Linked DNA regions of Coturnix japonica. The protein of the gene in region 1 binds, or shares a complex with, the protein of each later gene. Links are inferred from orthologs where the notes say so. Each region holds a gene or a part of one and is shown in the gene's direction. Other genes may lie near its edges. The genes, in order: SPTLC2, ORMDL3 and SPTSSA.

Region 1 (6,001 bases):
TATTAATATCTAGCAGCCAACTTCACCGTGGCATACATCAGCACTGCTGTAGATTTAGTGCTAAAGTATATGAATTACTCATTTGGTGAAGGTGGTGTCTGGATGATCAGTTGTTGTCTCGTCAGTGGCATAGTGTTTAATCTCTTAAGCACGTTGGAATACTTGTTAATCAGAAATGCATTATTGTCAACTGCTACATTGTGCTGGGTTAGAATTCAGCTGATAAACAGGTTGTTCCATGCATATCTGAGTAGCTGGAATATTTGGATTTTACTTGTGGTCTAATGTCTTGTGTATGTATTTTACCGAATGTCCAAAGAATGAGTTCGGAATTGGCTGATCACATGATAAATGGGCTGCTGCTGTTTGTGCATAATGAGCTGGATTATCAGAGGTAATCTGTTTAATTTAAGCCCAGCTCGCTTTTGGTGAGAAAGGTTATGGAACAGCTGCTTGATCAGTTCAGCTGGCAAATCTGAGAGGAACGTGGTAATTCCATCAATACAGACAGGCAGGAAAAATATATGGTGAGAAGCTTCAGCTGACTGATATTTATTAGCTATTCAAACTGCAAGCAAACCATTCTGTAACATACGGGTGTCAATTAATTTTGAGCAAATTTTGCAGCTTGTTTAAAAGCAGCCTACTGTACTGTTTTGCCAGCTTTGTATCTCTTGATTATAAATTCAGATATTGAAAAATTAGGGGGGGTGGATTTGACAGTTAAGCTTGTCCTTCTCCGTCCAGCAGCAGCCTTATCAGAAAGTGAGTAATTAGTCTTGATTAATCTTGATTAAAAGAGAAAGAAGAAACTGAATTCTAGTTTGCATTTTAATTGTTCTGTTAGCACAAGTTGCACATTTTTGGTTTGTACCTAAGTGAGAAGAGATCTACTGCTGCAGTTACATGTGTGGTTTATGACCATTGTGTCTATTGTCTTAATTTCTCTTCTAGGGAGAGAGTGTGTTCAGCAGTTAGCAGAGAACACAAGGTATTTCAGGAGACGACTGAAAGAGATGGGCTTTATCATCTATGGAAATGAAGATTCCCCTGTTGTGCCTCTGATGCTGTACATGCCAGCAAAAATTGGGTAGGTCCATCTACTTTAAAGTTAGTATGCTATAAGAATACTAAGACTTCTCTAAATGTAAAGGAAGATTTTTGTTTTGAAACATGGTGTGTAGTGGCAAAGCTTGTTCTTATTCACATACAAAGAGATTTTTGCATCTTTCTTAAAAAATTTTGGCGTTAGATGAGATTTGTTTTTTTTGTTTTTTGTTTTTGTTTTTTGCATTTGAATGTTCCCTTGATAAGCACTTAAAAAAGTGGTACATCCTGTGGCTCTGTAATGTGCCTCAATTGAATTTAATTGGTAGAAATAAACAATTTTGAAATAGCAGAAACATTTGCTTTGGGATGTTACAGCAGGGGGCATTCCTCATTGAGTCAAACTTCTGAGCCTTAGTTCCTGTTTCCTATCAGAAGGATTTTCAAGCTTAGGTTACAAATCCATTTAGAAAGAGCTTGCCAAAAGACCAGCCTCTGCCACATATAATCTTTCAGCTTTGCTAGAACTTAATACAGTGAGAGCTTTTGAGGAAGACCACCTTGGGGTTGAATTAAAGGGAGCCTTTGTAATTAAACGTTCTGCCTCCATGAGAAAGAACTGGAAGCTCCAACTTGTGGTGTTACAGGCTTGTTTAACAAAGGCGTGTATAGGTAAACATACTAAGACCTTTGTGCTGTCACTGCTCTTTCTCTACAGGTATGATTCTGACCAGTTTTCCTGGATAATGTTTTTGATGTTGGGTTTTTTTTTTTGGCAGTGCGTTTGGGCGTGAGATGCTGAAGCGGAACATTGGTGTTGTGGTTGTGGGCTTCCCTGCAACTCCCATCATTGAGTCCAGAGCCAGGTTCTGTTTGTCTGCAGCTCATACCAAAGAGATGCTTGATACGGTAAGTGTCTCATCTCTTTCTAGCTTGTGTCTTCTGTAAGCAGAGATAATTCTAGTTTTTATGGGTTCTTTTGTGGGTTTTTTGTTGTTTTTTTTAGAATGGTTCAGTGCTTGGTATGCAAATTAATTAAACCTAATGTTCAGAGTTGTCTGTAGTAGTGTGGATGCCATCTCCAACAAATCAGAACAGTCGTCTTCAGTAAATTCCAGGGGCTTTTTCCCATTTCAGATATGCAAGTGGGGTGGTTTTGTTCCCTTAAGACACTGTTTTTTTCCCTTGTTAAATAGGAACATAGTGACATTCTCAATTAGCTCTGTGAAAGATCATGGTTGATTGAAAGAGGTGCTCAAGGAAGGACAAGAGCATGATCAGGGGAACTGCAGGCTGGACAACCTCACCTTGATCCTTGGGAGGATGATGAAGAAGAATCATTCCTTGAAACTATTTCTAAGCTAGTTACAGACAAGAAGGTGGTTGGGAGTAGTTATTGTAGAATTATGAAGGAGAAATTGTGCCCAGGTATGATCAGGTGGAGACGCTTTGTAACGTGAACAGCAAATAGGAGTTGTAGTTTAAGCAAACGCTTACCAGCATATCAACAGCAACAACAAAAATGTAGTTTTAAGCCTTTAATCCTTAGTTTCCACACAATTTCTACATCAGTAGCAGGAAATGACCCTTCTTGATTTCATGTTTGCTAGGAAGGGTAGTGTGGCAGTTATGTGCACCGTTTGGTATGTATATCAGGTGCAGCTCTGTATCAGTAGAACTACCTGAAAGTTTTGTGTGTTTAGCTCTGAGGACTGACTCACTTCTAGAGTATATCTCTAGATGCTAAAGGCTCCAAACCAAGAGAAATGCTTGTTTAATACACTAGGGTTTGTCTGCCTAAGAAAATTAATCCAGGACAAAGTGTATGAATTTTGAAGTGAATGAAGAAATGTTGATTTTTCGCTTGGAATGTGAAGGCTTTGTTCCAAGTTGGCATAAACTGCTTTAAAGTTTGAAGTGACTGCATGCCCTGAACCCAGAACACTGGCAAGTGGAGTTAATAAGTAGCGAGTCTTTGTGTCAGTGACTGTGTTCTGCTTTTCTGCTGACACAGTGAAACAGAATCAGTTTCAGGCAGCCAGTAATTAAGACAACGGTCAGATCGGTTCCCCCTGCTGAACTGTGGCAACAATATCCAAGAGGAAAAAAAAATGAAGTGAGCAGAAGTGGAGAGAGCTGGCACAGTTTCCACAAGTCAGTGGTACAGAGAACTTGGTAGCCATTCCGTGTGTGCATGGATACTAACCAATGCTGTTATGGCATTTTTTGTAAACAAAATTAATCTGAGTACAGAGCATGGGGAAGTTTGTCTTATGAATACTGATATTTGTAATGCTTCCTTGTTCTTATTAAATAAAATCATGTGATGGGGAACAGTTCTCAGTTACAATTTTAACCATTTTATGTAAATAAAACTTCCTTGCCTGAGAATATTTGGCTCAGGATCAGAGTGTGGTCCCTCATAACCTGCATCCCTGTGGGTTGGTGCTTTCTTCTTAGTGATGAAAAATATGTATCACACTCTCTTGAAATTGGAGTTCACCAATGCCATTTCCTTTGTAGTCTTTGTTAGTCACATGGTTCTTTTTGTTTTAAATTAATAAAATCCTAAATCTGCATTCAAGAATAACAGTTAACAGACTCTTTCAACAGAAATTAACCTTAAATTGTTTCCATATGGGGTCTTTACTTTAAGCTCTGGCAAACTGTGCCCACGCTCTTGTTTGGTTTTGTTTTTATTGAGGTCCAACTTCTGGTCTTGTCATTCCCCCAGATTTTAGAATGGAGAGGTTCTTGCTGCCAGATATAACAAGCATGAGGGGCTGTTGTTTAAAGAAGTAGGAACTTGGACTGTTCTTTCAGGAAGGAAAAGCATGTAGGGATATTAGCCTCCATCTGCCAGCTATTCTCAAGAGACAGGCATTTGACCCAGAACATGTTAAAACTGGAGTGTTGTTGTTGAATTAGTGGCAATCTGAAGGAATGCTGAAAGTTTCTATCTGAACAAATCTGAAATGTAAGGGAGTGCAGACTGCCAACCTTGGAGTTCAAAAATCTCACTTAAGTTGAAAGTCGTCTTCTATATGTATATTTGTCACTCACCATGGATGAGATAGATAATTAGCATGACATACTGTTGCACATTTGTCTGCAGCAACTGGCTTATTTTTAGCACCTTGTTCCAGGGGTGGTCTCCAGAGAGGTAGAAGCTTAAGGTCTGACTTCTAACAGATTCTACTGTGAGCCAGCGTCTTATCAAAGAGATTGCATGATTATCTGAGCAGGGACTTTCCTCATTTCTTATGCTAGCAGGTGCTTGATTTCTAGAGAACTTCATATAATTAGCATTCGGATCATACGATGAAAGGTTTTGCGAGCTCGTTATCAGTGCTCATGACCACCAGTAGGCTAGGTGTTCCTCTATGGCCACAGTTAGAGAGAGCTTCTTTCCAGGTGGAGAAAAATGCTTAGGATCCTACCAGAATGGCTTTTCATTCCTTGACAAAAACCATTGTGTACAATGCTTATTCCATCTCTAGTTGTACTTGGGCAACTCAATCTAATCAAATACAGATATTTTAAAATGCATCAGGAAAAGCTGCTAGCATAAAATAGGGTTTTTTTCCACTGTCTTGTAATATAAAAAGGTATGGTATTTCAGTAGTACCAACACATACAGTATTTTCATACTGTAAAAAAAGGTGCATCAAACCTCCAAGTACATTTTCTTGTTTCAGCTATATTAACCCCTTCCCCCCCACACCCTCTGTCCCAAAAAGAGTGGAATGCTTTTCTCAATTGATCTGTTGTATGGACAGGCATGGCTTTAATTGGGCTGACAGTGAAAATAAGGGTAGTATTGCTGGCTGCTATATTCGTGCTTTGGAGTTGGAATAGTCAGGTATGTGCAGTCACTCTTGGTGAAATTACTTGTGCCACTCGCTTGGTCTGGAGGCTGACAAATATTAAAACAACAAACAAAAATGTTGTGTATACCTGAAGCTACATAATCCTAGTCTGGTTAATTTCCACTTTTTCTGTGGGCATGTAAAAAGGAAGATGTGCTGATAGCTTCCTTGCATCTGTTTCCCCTGCTGATACACTGTGGTCTCTTTCTCAGGCTTTAAAAGAAATCAATGAAGTTGGGGACCTTTTGCAACTGAAATATTCCCGTCACCGTTTGGTACCTCTCTTGGACCGGCCATTTGATGAGACTACATATGAAGAAACAGAAGACTGAGCACTCCGTATGCCTTGGTGGGAGGGACACACCCGATGGGACACTCTGTGGCATGCAGGCCACAGTCTGTGAACAACACACTTATGACTGCTTAGTGTAAAAGACATTTCCTCACAATACTGAAGTGGCCACATCAATTCTAAATGGCATTTTGTAAATAGAGAGAGGAGAAGCTAAAAAAACAAAACAACAGAAAACCTTTGATTCATGTGTCTTCAGGGTCTGGCCCTAGAGGTGCTTGGCTTTATTTCTTCATGTTGCTTTTTTATTTATTTATCTCAGTAAGTTCATAGCTATCCACGTTGGCTGTGGCTGATCAGCTCAGAATTTGTTATGCACCAGTAGCCTCCCAGATGCTAGCTGAGATGTTGTGAGCATGTGTGACGCTGGCATGGCAGCATTTCCAGTGTCACTGCTAGGTGTCTGAACTTGTAGTGAGGGGTGAGCTGACCTGTCTGTTGATTGGAGACTTCCTAGAGAAACTGTTGATTGCTAACTTTGACATATTTAACAAGATTGATAATCAACCAAAGCTTTTTTCTTTTGCAGTTACTTGTTTAAAACTTGAATATAGCTTTTTTAAAATAAATGTGTTGCTGACATGGCACTGACAGGACCATTGTTCCCAAACATTATTCAGTTTTACAAGCCACAGGCAGTAAGACTTCTGGGACTCTAACTTCTTTTCCTTCCTGGTATGGATACCAGATTGCCTCCTGGTTTTGACAGTAATTGTCCTCTTCATATAGGGTA
Region 2 (6,101 bases), on another chromosome or scaffold:
CTGAGGCCTCACCAATATCTGGGAGGATTATTTCTCCTGTCTGGCAGGCAGCTCTCCTGTTTACGCATTCCACAGCGGTGGTTGCTTTTCTTCCTTCCCTTTTTCCCTTTCCCCCCATAGTGGGACATCTTCACCTCCTCTTACACTTCAGCACAACCCCCATGTTTCCTTCTGAGAGCCATTCAGGGCTGTGGCCACACTGAGGATGGAGCTGCTCTCCCAGCACTGACCTCCAGCTCCAATCCTGCCCCCCTGCCAGGCTGCTTTGTACCCAGAGCTGACAGCCACTAACCCAACAACCTGCAGATCCAGAGGCTCTTTCCTCCTAAACACAAACCTATTCCAGACCTGAAGCTCCCTGAGTGGCAGTAGAGACATGGGAGCATCCATCAGCTCAGCAGTGAGCATCCCAGAGCTGCACACGTGCTGTGTGAGTGAGCAGCAGGCAGGCTCAGAGCACAGCAGCTGCTGAAACAAACCAGGCCCAGCACTTAGAAAGGGAACTCGGAGTAGCTGGCAGGAACATCCAGAGCATAATGTCAGATCTGGCGTGGACTCGCCTCCTGAGACCAAGAGCTGGACAGAACAGCAGCTTGCTTTGGTTTTCAGCTGTGGAAAGCAAAGCAGCAAAAGCACGAGGCTGAACATCAGGGAGAAGTCATTGCTTTGGGATCTGCTGTGCAAGGGACAGGCTGTATTATTTCCTTGGGAAACAGGCTGAGTGTTTTATGCAAGACCTTCCCTGATCTCTGTGCAAAGATATCCTGCATTACAGCAGCTCTTTCCTGTAATCCCTGATCATTGGTAAGACAGCTCTCAGCTCCCCAGTAAGCTGTGAAACATGGATGAAAACAGTGACCTGAGCACGGACCTGCCTCTGGTTTTGTTTCAGAGGGGTGAAAACAAGAGCCAATATGAACGTGGGAACAGCACACAGCGAGGTGAACCCCAACACCCGCGTGATGAACAGCCGGGGCATCTGGCTGTCCTACATCCTTGGCATTGGGCTGCTGCACGTCGTGCTCCTGAGCATCCCCTTCTTCAGCGTCCCCGTGGTTTGGACTCTTACCAACATCATTCACAACATGGTAAGCCAACCCCAGCTCAAAGAGGCAAAATACTTTGGAGCTGTGGCCATCAATTTCGTGTCCTTTATGTTAACATCTGAGAGCATTGCAGTGGTGAATCCATCCTTGGGATTGCTTGTCTTATCTCCAGTGATATAAAAATACATGAACACATAAACCCAGAGCTATGACTGCTGGGGGCTGAGTGCAGCACAGCCGCCTGCATTTCACCCAGCTCCTTGCCCTGCTCAACCTTTGGCCTTGGGAACAGAGGGGAGCTGAGGGCAGCGAGGGCTGTGTGTTAAAGACATGTCTGAGCCCAACATTGCTTATCTATAAGACAGCAACGCATCCTTTCTGCCTTTTAGACAGCACTGAGCATTGCTGCTGCACAGTGCAATAATCCCGAGTGCTGTAATCTCACAGCTCCCTTTGCTTACAGCCCAGACAGGCGTTGCTCTTAGCAGCCAAGGCAGAGCCAGCTCAGCTTCCTGTGGCTGCTTTGGGTTCACAGCGCTGGTGATGCATCCCTCTAGCGGAGCAAAGTGCTGCTGCAATCTTACACAGCCCCTCATTACTCTGCTCCCCTGTCTGAAGCTGAACCATTGCTGGGGGGGGGGGCTGTAACACCACTCACATCTCACCCTGCATTTGTGTTCTCTGCAGAGCATGTACATCTTCCTACACACGGTGAAAGGAACCCCTTTTGAGACGCCAGACCAGGGCAAGGCGAGGCTGCTCACGCACTGGGAGCAGATTGACTATGGCGTGCAGTTCACAGCATCCCGCAAGTTCCTGACCATCATGCCCATCGTGCTGTGAGTGCTGCAGGGGAGCAAAGCAAGCGGGAGGCAGAGCACACGGCGTGCTGTCATTCAGTGTCTCTTTGCATTCTCTCTTTCTCTGCAGGTATTTTCTAACCAGCTTTTACACCAAGTACGACCGGATACACTTCGTCATCAACACCATCTCCCTGATGAGCGTCCTGATCCCCAAACTGCCTCAGTTCCATGGAGTGCGGATCTTTGGGATCAACAAGTACTGAAGCAGATGGAGGAGCAGTGGAGCTCATGGAGGTTCCTCCTCCCTGCTCCCGTCCCCCCCCTGCCCACACACACTGGGATAGTTTCACAGCAGCTGTTTTAAACGCAGTACCCAATAGACATACACCGCATGCTGGATCCTCATGCCCAATAAACCTAAAGAAGCTCCAGAGTAGAGTTTAGCCAGGAGCAGGATGCTGGGCTTCTTTTATTCCAGCATCATCATTAGATGCAGATACACCGAGACTCCAAGGTACAACGAGGATGAATCGTGGGAAGGTTTTCATCTATCCCAGATGCGATGAGAACAGGGGTGAGGGGGAAAGCTTTTAGTGCTGGTACTATTGCTGTGGTAAATGCACTTTAACATTACTTCCCTTTCTGAAGCTTTGGTGCTTTAAAGCGATCCGCGGGGAAATGGAAAGGGACGCAGCCAAACTCTCCCATTATTTGATGGTTTCGGGTTTTGGTTCCATTTCTTGGGCAGAGGAAGAGAAGGGAGGGGAACAGAATGACACAGTTTGATGTCGAAAGCTTTTATGGCACCGAGGAAGGAAGCTGTTCTACTCAAAGCAGTAGAGGAAAGAAGAAACAGGCTGCGCTTTGAGACGACTGTCTGCTCCCTTCGGAACCATCCATCTGGGTCAGGGGAAGGTCCCAACTTGCAGCTGTTACTTCCAGCTTGGGTAACTTTGCCTCCCAACCCAAACTGCTCAGCTTGGGGATGAAGGGCTGAGGTGCAGCTCATTATAACGACTGAGGTGCCTGGGAGGAACCAAAGACTGATGGATTCAGACCATGTGAGAGCTGAACGGCTGCTTGAGAGCTGGGTGGCAGCGATTTGAGTTCTCCTCCTCCATCCATCCCCTCGGTCTCCTCAGCCCACGTAGCTGTTAATGAGATCTGCCAGCTCTCCAATGAACTCGGCATGAAAACCTCCACGAAGCACCGCAGACCCCCAGGGCTGATGGCTGCCAATGGGGAGGGAGCAGAGCAGCACCGAGGAGCAGCACCAGCAGCACTGACCTGCCCCAGAGAAGGGTGCTCAGGTCACCAAAGACAACAGATGGTTTTGTATAGGAATAAACTCAAGCCTTCATCCCCCTCCAACCACCGCTGGAACAAGGGAGGGTTGTGGGGCTGCAGGTTTGGGTTTCCTGGCTGAGATGCTTTTTTCTTGCAGGTTTTGTGCTGGATGAAATGTGGTTTTGCTGATGCTTTCCCTTCCACCAGCCTGCATTCTTTTGTTGTTGTCTCAGTGCTTACGTTGTCTCACGTTGGCAATGGTGAAGGCATTTTAAATGTGCTGGGTTTGTTCTTAATTAGCCAAGTCTGGCTTGAGAAGTCAAAGTGGATATTGAGTTCTGTATGAGGGTCTGGGCATAGGGCATAGAGAAGCTCCAAGATCTACTATATAAGATCTGGTAGTACTCCATGCATAGTATTAGGCTTTATTTCTATCCCGTACTTAGCAGGCTGCTGCAGTGAAGGGAGAAAACAGTTAACGTAGCTCAGAGCCATGCTGGGATGCATGGGGTCATTATTTAACAGTTGTTGAGCAATGGGAATGTTTTAAGTGCAAAGGAAGCCTTGAAGAAGGTGGAAGAAGAGCCGGGTTGGGATTTGAGCGCTGATCTCCAGTGAGAGTTTGGCAGAAGTTTGGGGTACCCGACAGGGTGGGGGTTAAACCACCACGACACAAGTGCTGCTGCTTGAGTTACGGTACTACAGACCCTAAAGCTGACGAACTCTTTAAGCTACCAGACAATGACTTTGGGGGGGGGGGGGAATACTTCATTTTCTTTCTTTTTTCTTCATAACAAACCTATTTTGTTCATCAGTGCTTTGGAAATTAGGAAGGGATGAACAGCACCAGGGCCTGGGATGCTCACGGACACAGGGCAGCCCAGCAGGTCTGAATGTCTGACAGCACATGAACCCATACCCCAGTGGTAAACCTCCAGGAGAAGAGACACTACTCCTTTAGGCATGATATGAAAGGGGGAAATAAAAGCTTTCTTGCAGCAAAAGTAGTTGTTATATTGAGGGTGCTTTGGCTTTTAACCTCGACTCCCATCCATAGGATGTATTGAGTGTACAAGTTACCCCAGCTCAGAGCAGTTTTGGGGCTCAGCTCAGTGTTGCTGCTGGGGTTTGGAGCCTGCATTATTTGTGCTGTTGGCTGACACGACGGACACCTGATTCTGTTCTGCTCCATGAAAGAGCATCAATAAAACAACATGGACTGGAATTACAGACTTCTGGCAAAGGCAGGTTTTCAAGCCCTGAGTCCAGAAGTTCTCATGGGACAAAGCCTTCATTATGATGGTAAACTTTCCCCACTTTGTTTAGCTGGAGTGGTTAACATAGAATTACACAGGTGTCCCCATTGGGGTTACATGGCAGATAGTACTGGCCCTTGATAAAGTGGGCAGCAGTTGTGTTACCATGATGGATGCATTGCTGTTTCTTACTGGGACTTCCATGTCTCTACCATTGAGTGGCATATATTTTAAGCATGCAGGCCTTTGCATTGCCTCGTCCTCCTTGGATCAATCTCAGCTCCATTAGTTTGGTGGGGCTGGTTTTGTTTGAACACAACGTTCTGCCATCGGACGGAGTTTTAGGGTTTGGGTTTGCTTTGTTGGTTTCTTTCTTCCAGCAGCCCTTCCTTTTTGCTGTGGATGCTGAAGTCTCGTGTAGGGAACTTTCTAAAACAAAGTGTGAATATTTTTATTACTCCTTTGTAAAGCCTTCTAAGAGAAACTAATAAAGTGAGTATTCATGTAATAACCAGCCTTCAGCTCCTTGCATTCCCACATGGGCACTTCTGCTCATTGATGCTCACTGTGGCCGCAGCCCAACCAGGATGTGGCAGAGCTGGAACCTCATGGACTGCAGAGCTGGAGGGGCCAGAAGGGACCCCCCCAGTCCAACTCCAACCCCCAGCTGAGCATCACAGAATTGCTCAGGTTGCAAAAGACCTCCAAGGTCATCAAATCCAACCACAACCCAACCGTGCTACGTTAACCAGCACGCCCTGCTCCTCATCCCTGCATAACTGCCAAACAACCACAACAGAAGCAAAGTCCTACAGCCCAGGAACAAGGTACACAGGGATCGAGTGCAAAGTGCCCACAGCTGCTGGAACAGCACGACAGCAGAAGTGACGGCGAGAAAAGTTCAGGGCTGGGGTTATATCAGTTCTTCTTTCCTTATCGGGCAGGCAGTTCCGGGCTGGCAGGAGGCTCACATAGCAAAGCCAGTAAGTACAGGAGGCAGTGCAAGCATTGCAAGCACTGCAGGCATTGCAAGCACTGCAAGCATTGCAAGCATTGCAAGCATTGCAAGCACTGCAGGCACCGCAACCAGCTGGTCCCACTCCTGCAGCACAGAGCCCCACATCCCCCCACAGGCTCCAGGTAAGAGCTGCCCCACGGATGGGGGGAGGGCTGCCCCACTCTGCCACCCCACTCTTCTCTCCCACTGTCCAAAGTCCCTCCCCAGCTCCTCCTGGGACTTGAGAACTTTGAGACTTAAGGCTGAGTGCTCCCACAGCCCAAAGTCCCCCATTATCTGAATCAGAGCTGGAGCACAGACCCACGGTTCCCCTCTCCACCCATTCCCTTCTCTTCTCTCCTTCCTCCCCCATTTTGTCTTTCTTTCTCCTCATAAAGTTAAGCAACCGAGGTTTATTTCAACTTCCTATAAAGTCACAGTTTATCCTCACAGCTCTGACAGACAGAACTTTGAGAGTGCCAATACTTTTACAGTCAGCTTTAATGAGAACCGGTTACGTCTGCATTTGGATCCGAGTGTCCTTAATGGAACCAAGAGGGTTTGTGAATCCGGTCACCCTCCCCGGGCAGGACGTGACAATGTGCTCCTTTAGGGAGGGAGGAGAGCAAACTGTTGGTGTTGAATGGGATCCATTCCTTCAGAGCACGACACAGTGAGGCAGCAGCACACAGAAGGCACAGCACAGCACAGC
Region 3 (6,101 bases), about 3.1 Mb from region 1:
CAGTACCTCAGTGTGTATTAAAACTACTGCTTAGAATAAATACTGTATCAGCTGGTTCCCCTTAGCTGCATTGGTTGTTTCTATGGAATGGAAACTATTCTATTCAATGGAACTGTTAAACTTGGTAGCTCTCAGTGAGGATTTTGGGCTTAAGACAAGATTTCTATATCATTTTTACTACCTATGGTCTGACTGGCACATTGGCAGAAATGATGCCATCTGAAGTGGGATAGACTATTACTACATGCTTTAAGCCTGGAGGCATATAGGGAAAATTTTGCTTAGTAACACTGTGGAGGAGCAGATGTAATGGAGGCTGTACTCTGCTGTAGGGCATACTGGCCTCAGTGCAAACTGTCTTCACAGTCCAGGTGATGCATGAAAGCTATTTAGTGTCAGGGTAAGATTGTTGCACTGAGCTGCTGAAAACAGGAGAATGAGGATGTTGTTCAGGGGCTCAAAAGTCAGTGCAGGTGGTAGCAGGAGGAGCAATTGTTGATGGCAATTCTTAAGCAGGAGTAAGATGAAGATAGTGAAGAATGAGACACTCACTATACGGAGGAATAGTGTCCATTTATTAAGGGGCTAACTAGCAAAAGCTGCCTTCTGAGTATGCACCAAATTGAAACGGTGTAAGGACCTGGACAAACAGCTGGTGGATGTGGCAGGAAATGGTGAAGCTGGCATGCTTCCACATTACCTTTCTTCTTATCTCAAGTGCTTGCTGCTGCTTCTTGCTCGCCCGAATTGCAGTTCCTGTTTTCATGAGACATGGGAGCAGGAGAGACTGGGAGATGTTTGCTTCATATCGATACTGCTCTTGCAGCTGTGCAAGGCTGTAGTGCTTTAGATGTGCTAAAAACCCCACCTGTCCTTGGACTTCATGTGCTTATTTAGAAAAGTAGTTTTCATCATGGCTGCAGATCTTTCAAGCAGTGTCAACAACACAAGACTCCTCCAGTGTCAATTACAACAAGCAACAGCTGTCTTGGGTAGGGGCAACAGCTGCTGTAGCCAGCTATGTGGGGGTATTGAATCGTATAAATACGCTCGTTTCTTCTTGTGCTGAAATAAATTGATCTAGATATATTATGTCTGAATGTATTCTAGCTGGATTAAAACCCGTATCAGATCTTTCCACATAAATTACGACAGTGTTTGGTTGTCTCTGCCAGCTAGTTTTCTTTTGCACAGTTATCTCCTGGTGCTGTAGGTGCAATTCACAGCTCTGTAAATAATTAATATGAGCACCCTGCTGTGACTGTATTTCCTTGCTTTCCACTGTGCTAACAGCACTGGTTAAATTAGGTGTGGGGCAGCTGCAAGACTAGGGTTGCACTAGAACTGACATAACGTAAAGCTGTTTTACTGAGCAGGATGATGGCAGAGGGCTGACAGCAGTTTCTCATCTGTGGTGCACACCTAGCATGTGCATGAGGCCTTTCCTGGTGGCCTGGCTCCAGCACACAGGGGTTGGTTGTACCTTGTACTTAATCGCGATGCTTGACTTCCCCACGTGTTGCTTTTCACTGGGTTTGTGTTCTAACTACTGCATTTGAAACTCAGTTGTCCACGTAAGCTGCCAAAAGTCAAAATAGCAGTTACAAGTTTCTAACACTGAAGCATCTGGCCCCAAACACCTCTCAGAAGGGCAAAGTTAGCAGCCATTATGGTAAAAAGTTGATCTTTTTGCCTCTTCCGCTGTTCCTGTGGGACTGATCTAGTCAGTCCATGTTGAAAGACTGCACATTTACCTGAGCAGTGGTTTTGGGTGGGCTTTGCCCTGAATACTAAAGGTACTGAAGCCGCCTGCAGAACCCTTTAACACATATGATGAATCACGTTGAACGCAATCTTCAGGTGATCTCTAATACCCAGTATGTCCATTTAAATGAAACAGGATGGGAGAAAATTGGGTGCAGCAGTCTTCCAGATATGACTCAGATCTGCTCACATGGTGACGGACAATCGTGTGATGTGATGTGATCTAAGCAGGATCAGGCTCGCGCATACAGCTGATTTATTCTGTAGGGGAAAATCAACGCGTTCTGCTACGGGGACTGAGAGTGGCTGGGTTTTGTAGTATGTGAAGCGAGCTTCTTCTGCGATCCGCAGAGACTGTTTTGTACGGGAATACAGGCAGCCTCACGGCCATTGTAACCGACTCCAGGACTGACTGTCAGTACCGTACACGCGCTGTGAGGACGGAGAGGAGACGGAGCCGAGTGTCCGCTCCCTCCGCCCCGCTTCCAGGGGCCGTGCGGGGCAGCCTCGGCGTTCAGTGTCCGCTCCCAACTCCGTCCGCTCCGGGGCGCTGCCGACCCGACCCGCGCCCCGCCCGCCTCGCAGCGCCTCCATTTCGGGAGGCCGCAGCCCGGGGCCGGGCCTCGCGCGGTGGGGCCAGTCGGCAGCGACGGCGGAGGGAGGCGGGTCCCGGGCAGCCACCGCCCCCGTCTCCGCTCGGCCTGGGCCCGGCGCAGGCGGCTCGGGGCCGGCGGCGGGTGGGGAGAGCGCGGTGCGCGCCATGGCGCTGGGCTCGGCCTGGAAGCAGATGTCGTGGCTGTACTACCAGTACTTGCTGATCACCTGTAGCTACGTGCTGGAGCCCTGGGAGCGCACCGTCTTCAGTATCCTTCTGCCGGCGGCGCGTGGCCTGTCGGGCGGGTAGCTCTGGGGCCGGGTGGGATGTGGACGGTGTCCCGGGGCTGTACCGAGGGCGGCGGGGAGCTGGGAGCGGTGTGCGGGGCTGGCGGGGCTGCAGCCGGTACGGGCGGAGCGGGGCCGGAGTCAGGGAGAGCCTTAGTGCCGGCGCGTGCCTTCTGTCACGGGCATCTGCACGGTCCGACCGCCTCTGCCCGGGGCCAAGTTTACATCCTGCCGTGCTTTCTCCTCAGCCTTTCTTTTATCATTATTATCTTTTTCTTATTCTTTTCTCTCCCGTAGAATTGCGGTAGTTATTTTTCCCCCCTGACTCTTCAGCTGGAGCACCATGGTTTCTGCTCAGCACAGCTCTTGAGTTAATTCTGTTTTGTCGTCTCGTGGAAAGTAAATGTGTGTGCTGGGGAGCTTTGGTTTGGGCTGCGCTGTGTCACACGCTGTTTGTTAGAAGAGCATTTAATCCTTGAGCCGGTGAATTTGTTTGTCTCTTCTGGAGTGGAAGAACTGGATAGATGCTAATGTGAGGCTTCTGTATGCAGACTACTTGTAGGCAAGCTTCCTCAACCAGCTCTGTCAGACTGGCACTGCGGTGTCCTAAGGGCTGTTATTTATTACCAGTGGTGTTCTTTGCGAGCGTGGCTGGTTTGATCTTGAGTTAAAATGATGTCTCATGAACGACCCTGAGCCATCTCCAGTTTATGCTGAGAGGCACAGAGACAAACCAGCCAAAACATTAACACTGCTTGCACCCATCAAGAAGGGTTTAATGGTGAAAAGCTGCTTTTCCTGGTTAGTTGTAAAGGAACTCATTATATAAGAGTGGTTTCCCAGGTTGTAGCTGGTTACAGGTTGCAGAGAGTTTTCTAATGTACACTTGGTAAAAGTGGAGTCATTACTATTTTTTGGCTTTCTCATTCTTACAGATGCACAGTGCTCAGCTATTGAGGCAGCGGTTTTTAGTTTCAGAGTACTCTGTTTCTGATTAGAACACCCAAATCTGTTTATGCTGTGTCTGTATCACTGAAAACACTCCATTTTTGCTTTCCTTACAACTAGATCAGTTATAAACAAATATATGTATTTTCCTTTCATATTAACTGGACAGCTTCTTAACTTGGACAAGGCATTTAAGTAGTTGACAGATGTGTGTGCATGTTTATAAAGTGCTTGTTTTGCAGTGAAGTGATCGTTGCTCCACTTAAAATAGTGTCCTGAGTATCCCAATATATTGTTTGCAGCATCAGATGAGCAGAACTGTCCCTGTCCTCAGAGGGAATGCTGTCACTGCTGGTGGGCCAAGTCTGCCAGGCACTGTGGTGCCTGGACCACACTGGACCACACAGGCACATGGCCTTGGAGCTGGCAGTCCAGAGACTTGCTGTGTGTATTTCCAGCTTATTGTATTCAAGAAGTGTAGGGAACACTGATACTGGAACGTAGATGTAGCATTGACCTTCATTTTAGTGTCTTGCATTGTGCAATCTTCTGGGACTAAAAATACACCCAGAAGCTGGCATGCTCTAATAAGCACCACATCTACCTCTTGGGGAAGTCAGTTACAGAGCCCTTGTTGCACACATGCTCTGGTTACTTTTCTCTAAGTTACAGAGCATGCACGGCTCCTCTGATTTCACCTGTGGAAACCTGAGTACTGTTATCAGTGTTATCGTGCTTGTTAATCTTCAGAGCTCTATATAGTGTTTCTGAATCTCTGCAGGTTATTGTTGAGAGTACAGCTCTTGAATTTCTAAAGTCTTAAACTTTGAGTGGCCTAATCTTTGAGTAGTCTGATGTTATAGTTTCTGTTAGATAAAGCCTTGAGAATCCTGGAGTATGACAAAGGTCTAGTTGTATGTTTACATTGTAAGCCATCTGACTTCTCTGACTTTCCATTTGGAGTTCAGCTGAATGAAGGGGTCATTGCTTAGCAGATGGCTTCATGTGAGATTTGTTTTGCAGCTCTGCCATAGTAAAATACCAGCAAGCATATATTTATTTACACGCACAGATTTATTCCAATCATGCTGATCCTATGAGGCATTGGGACTGAAATGTCTGGAAAGCTGTGTGTCACAATGTTGCCCATATTTTTCATTACCCTTGCAGCCTATTTTTTTTCCTAAGTGCTGTCAACACTTTAATGTAGCTCCTTGCCTGTGATAAAAGGTCTGAGCTGATAGAGCAGCAAACCAAATAATGTAGTGACTTAAAGCCTAGAGAACACTGTTTTCCTGGCTTTATGTTTGCAGTACAACTTTCATGCCAGATGTTTTGTGAACGATACATTAAATGTATTATGTCATTCTGTTCTGGTAAGTTGATACCAACATTTAATGCTTTCTGCTTAATAGTGAGTAAGCTGTGCACAAATATCAGCTCTTACTCAGTACAGGTACTCATATAATCCTTCTGTTTTTGCCTCTCCTTTTTTTTTTTCCTGATGGTTGACTTTTCTGCCTGACTGATTGTGCTGGCTACTGCAGGTATTGCTTAAGACCTTGGAGGATGTATGCGTAATTCATATATCCCCAGTGCCCATTTTCAGTCCCTTCTTCCTTCCCACGCTTCCGTCTGTACTGTTGTGTCTATGACAAGGCAGTGGATATCTTACAAAGCATCCTGCTGTAATTCACTTTATCACCCCTACCCATGCTCTGTTTTTCAGTGTTCTGTTGCTTCTTCCTACAGCTGTAACTGTTGAATACAGTTAGTACTTAAGATTTACAAATATAATGTTATGAGATAGGAAAAATGGTAGTGCTGTGCTTATATGACTTGTAATGTACTTCTGGTTTCAAATGCTTTCTTCCTTACCTGTCGTTCAGATTCAATGCTAGTTTCCATTGTTGGAATGGCACTGTACACGGGCTATGTGTTCATGCCTCAGCACATCATGGCGATATTGCACTACTTTGAGATTGTGCAGTGATGAAGAGTGTATGTTCAAGAAGTTATCGTGCTCTGAAATCTGGTCGACAAAGAAGAACGAACCTCTTAGTTTTAACAAGACTTCTACCGCTGTCCAAAAAGGAAAGACACAATGATGATTCTGAAGACTAGGAAACGAGATGTGTAGAGCAGGGGCATGAGATGTCCCCTATGTTGTGTTAATTCCTTTTGATTTTACAAGATATGCCCTTGTATAGTAGTTTTGTCTACCTTAACATTGTGATTGTACTTTGATATCAGTATTTTCTTAACTTTGTGACAGTTTCGATATTGCACTGTGAAAGCTTTTCTTAATTGTAATTTTGAGTAAATCTTAATTGCCTTCTATTTTTAATCAGAAAATCGTCTAATTAAATGGGGCTTAAAGCTTTTGCTATTGTATGGTATGTATTTGCCTGGGTATTTCTATCGATGCATTTTTGTAAGAAAATACATCTAGATTCATATTAGAGACATGGATATATTCGTCTAACACTATTTACACAGATTAGTTT

Evidence for each region.
Region 2: the proteins of SPTLC2 (region 1) and ORMDL3 are in contact, whole or in part, in a cryo-EM structure (PDB 7K0O), measured with the Homo sapiens proteins. The link is inferred for Coturnix japonica from reciprocal best matches to the Homo sapiens genes SPTLC2 and ORMDL3. Residues at the interface, in NP_004854.1 of Homo sapiens: Glu65, Thr66, Pro67, Met68, Ala71, Val72, Tyr75, Tyr86, Gln116, Phe118, Glu119, Asn120, Phe121, Tyr122, Tyr127, Trp134, Asp259, Glu260, Leu261, Asn262, Val267, Arg271, Ile279, Met320, Val495, Val496, Gly497, Phe498, Pro499, Ala500; in NP_001307730.1 of Homo sapiens: Met1, Asn2, Val3, Gly4, Thr5, Ala6, His7, Ser8, Pro12, Val16, Ser19, Arg20, Gly21, Ile22, Leu24, Ser25, Leu28, Phe63, Val67, Lys68, Gly69, Thr70, Pro71, Phe72, Glu73, Pro75, Gln77, Arg81.
Region 3: the proteins of SPTLC2 (region 1) and SPTSSA are in contact, whole or in part, in a cryo-EM structure (PDB 7K0K), measured with the Homo sapiens proteins. The link is inferred for Coturnix japonica from reciprocal best matches to the Homo sapiens genes SPTLC2 and SPTSSA. Residues at the interface, in NP_004854.1 of Homo sapiens: Leu73, Gly77, Val80, Leu81, Phe84, Leu87, Arg88, Leu91, Leu126, Arg129, Ile130, Tyr156, Met475, Pro476, Ala477, Lys478, Gly480, Ala481, Arg484, Glu485, Asp533, Leu534, Leu535, Gln536; in NP_612145.2 of Homo sapiens: Trp15, Tyr18, Gln19, Leu21, Leu22, Val23, Thr24, Ala25, Tyr27, Met28, Leu29, Glu30, Pro31, Trp32, Glu33, Val36, Phe37.

The regions. Positions count from the first base shown.
Region 1 is NC_029520.1:35,608,769-35,614,769, reverse strand, and holds part of SPTLC2 (serine palmitoyltransferase 2), read left to right. Parts: intron 1-954; coding exon 955-1,090; intron 1,091-1,826; coding exon 1,827-1,956; intron 1,957-5,128; coding exon 5,129-5,248; 3' UTR 5,249-6,001. UniProt on the Homo sapiens protein: Component of the serine palmitoyltransferase multisubunit enzyme (SPT) that catalyzes the initial and rate-limiting step in sphingolipid biosynthesis by condensing L-serine and activated acyl-CoA (most commonly palmitoyl-CoA) to form long-chain bases.
Region 2 is NC_029542.1:3,979,943-3,986,043, forward strand, and holds the end of ORMDL3 (ORM1-like protein 3), read left to right. Parts: intron 1-892; coding exon 893-1,088; intron 1,089-1,733; coding exon 1,734-1,885; intron 1,886-1,976; coding exon 1,977-2,112; 3' UTR 2,113-4,900; downstream 4,901-6,101. UniProt on the Homo sapiens protein: Plays an essential role in the homeostatic regulation of sphingolipid de novo biosynthesis by modulating the activity of the serine palmitoyltransferase (SPT) in response to ceramide levels.
Region 3 is NC_029520.1:32,507,498-32,513,598, reverse strand, and holds the start of SPTSSA (serine palmitoyltransferase small subunit A), read left to right. Parts: upstream 1-2,300; 5' UTR 2,301-2,524; coding exon 2,525-2,627; intron 2,628-5,483; coding exon 5,484-5,587; 3' UTR 5,588-6,101. UniProt on the Homo sapiens protein: Component of the serine palmitoyltransferase multisubunit enzyme (SPT) that catalyzes the initial and rate-limiting step in sphingolipid biosynthesis by condensing L-serine and activated acyl-CoA (most commonly palmitoyl-CoA) to form long-chain bases.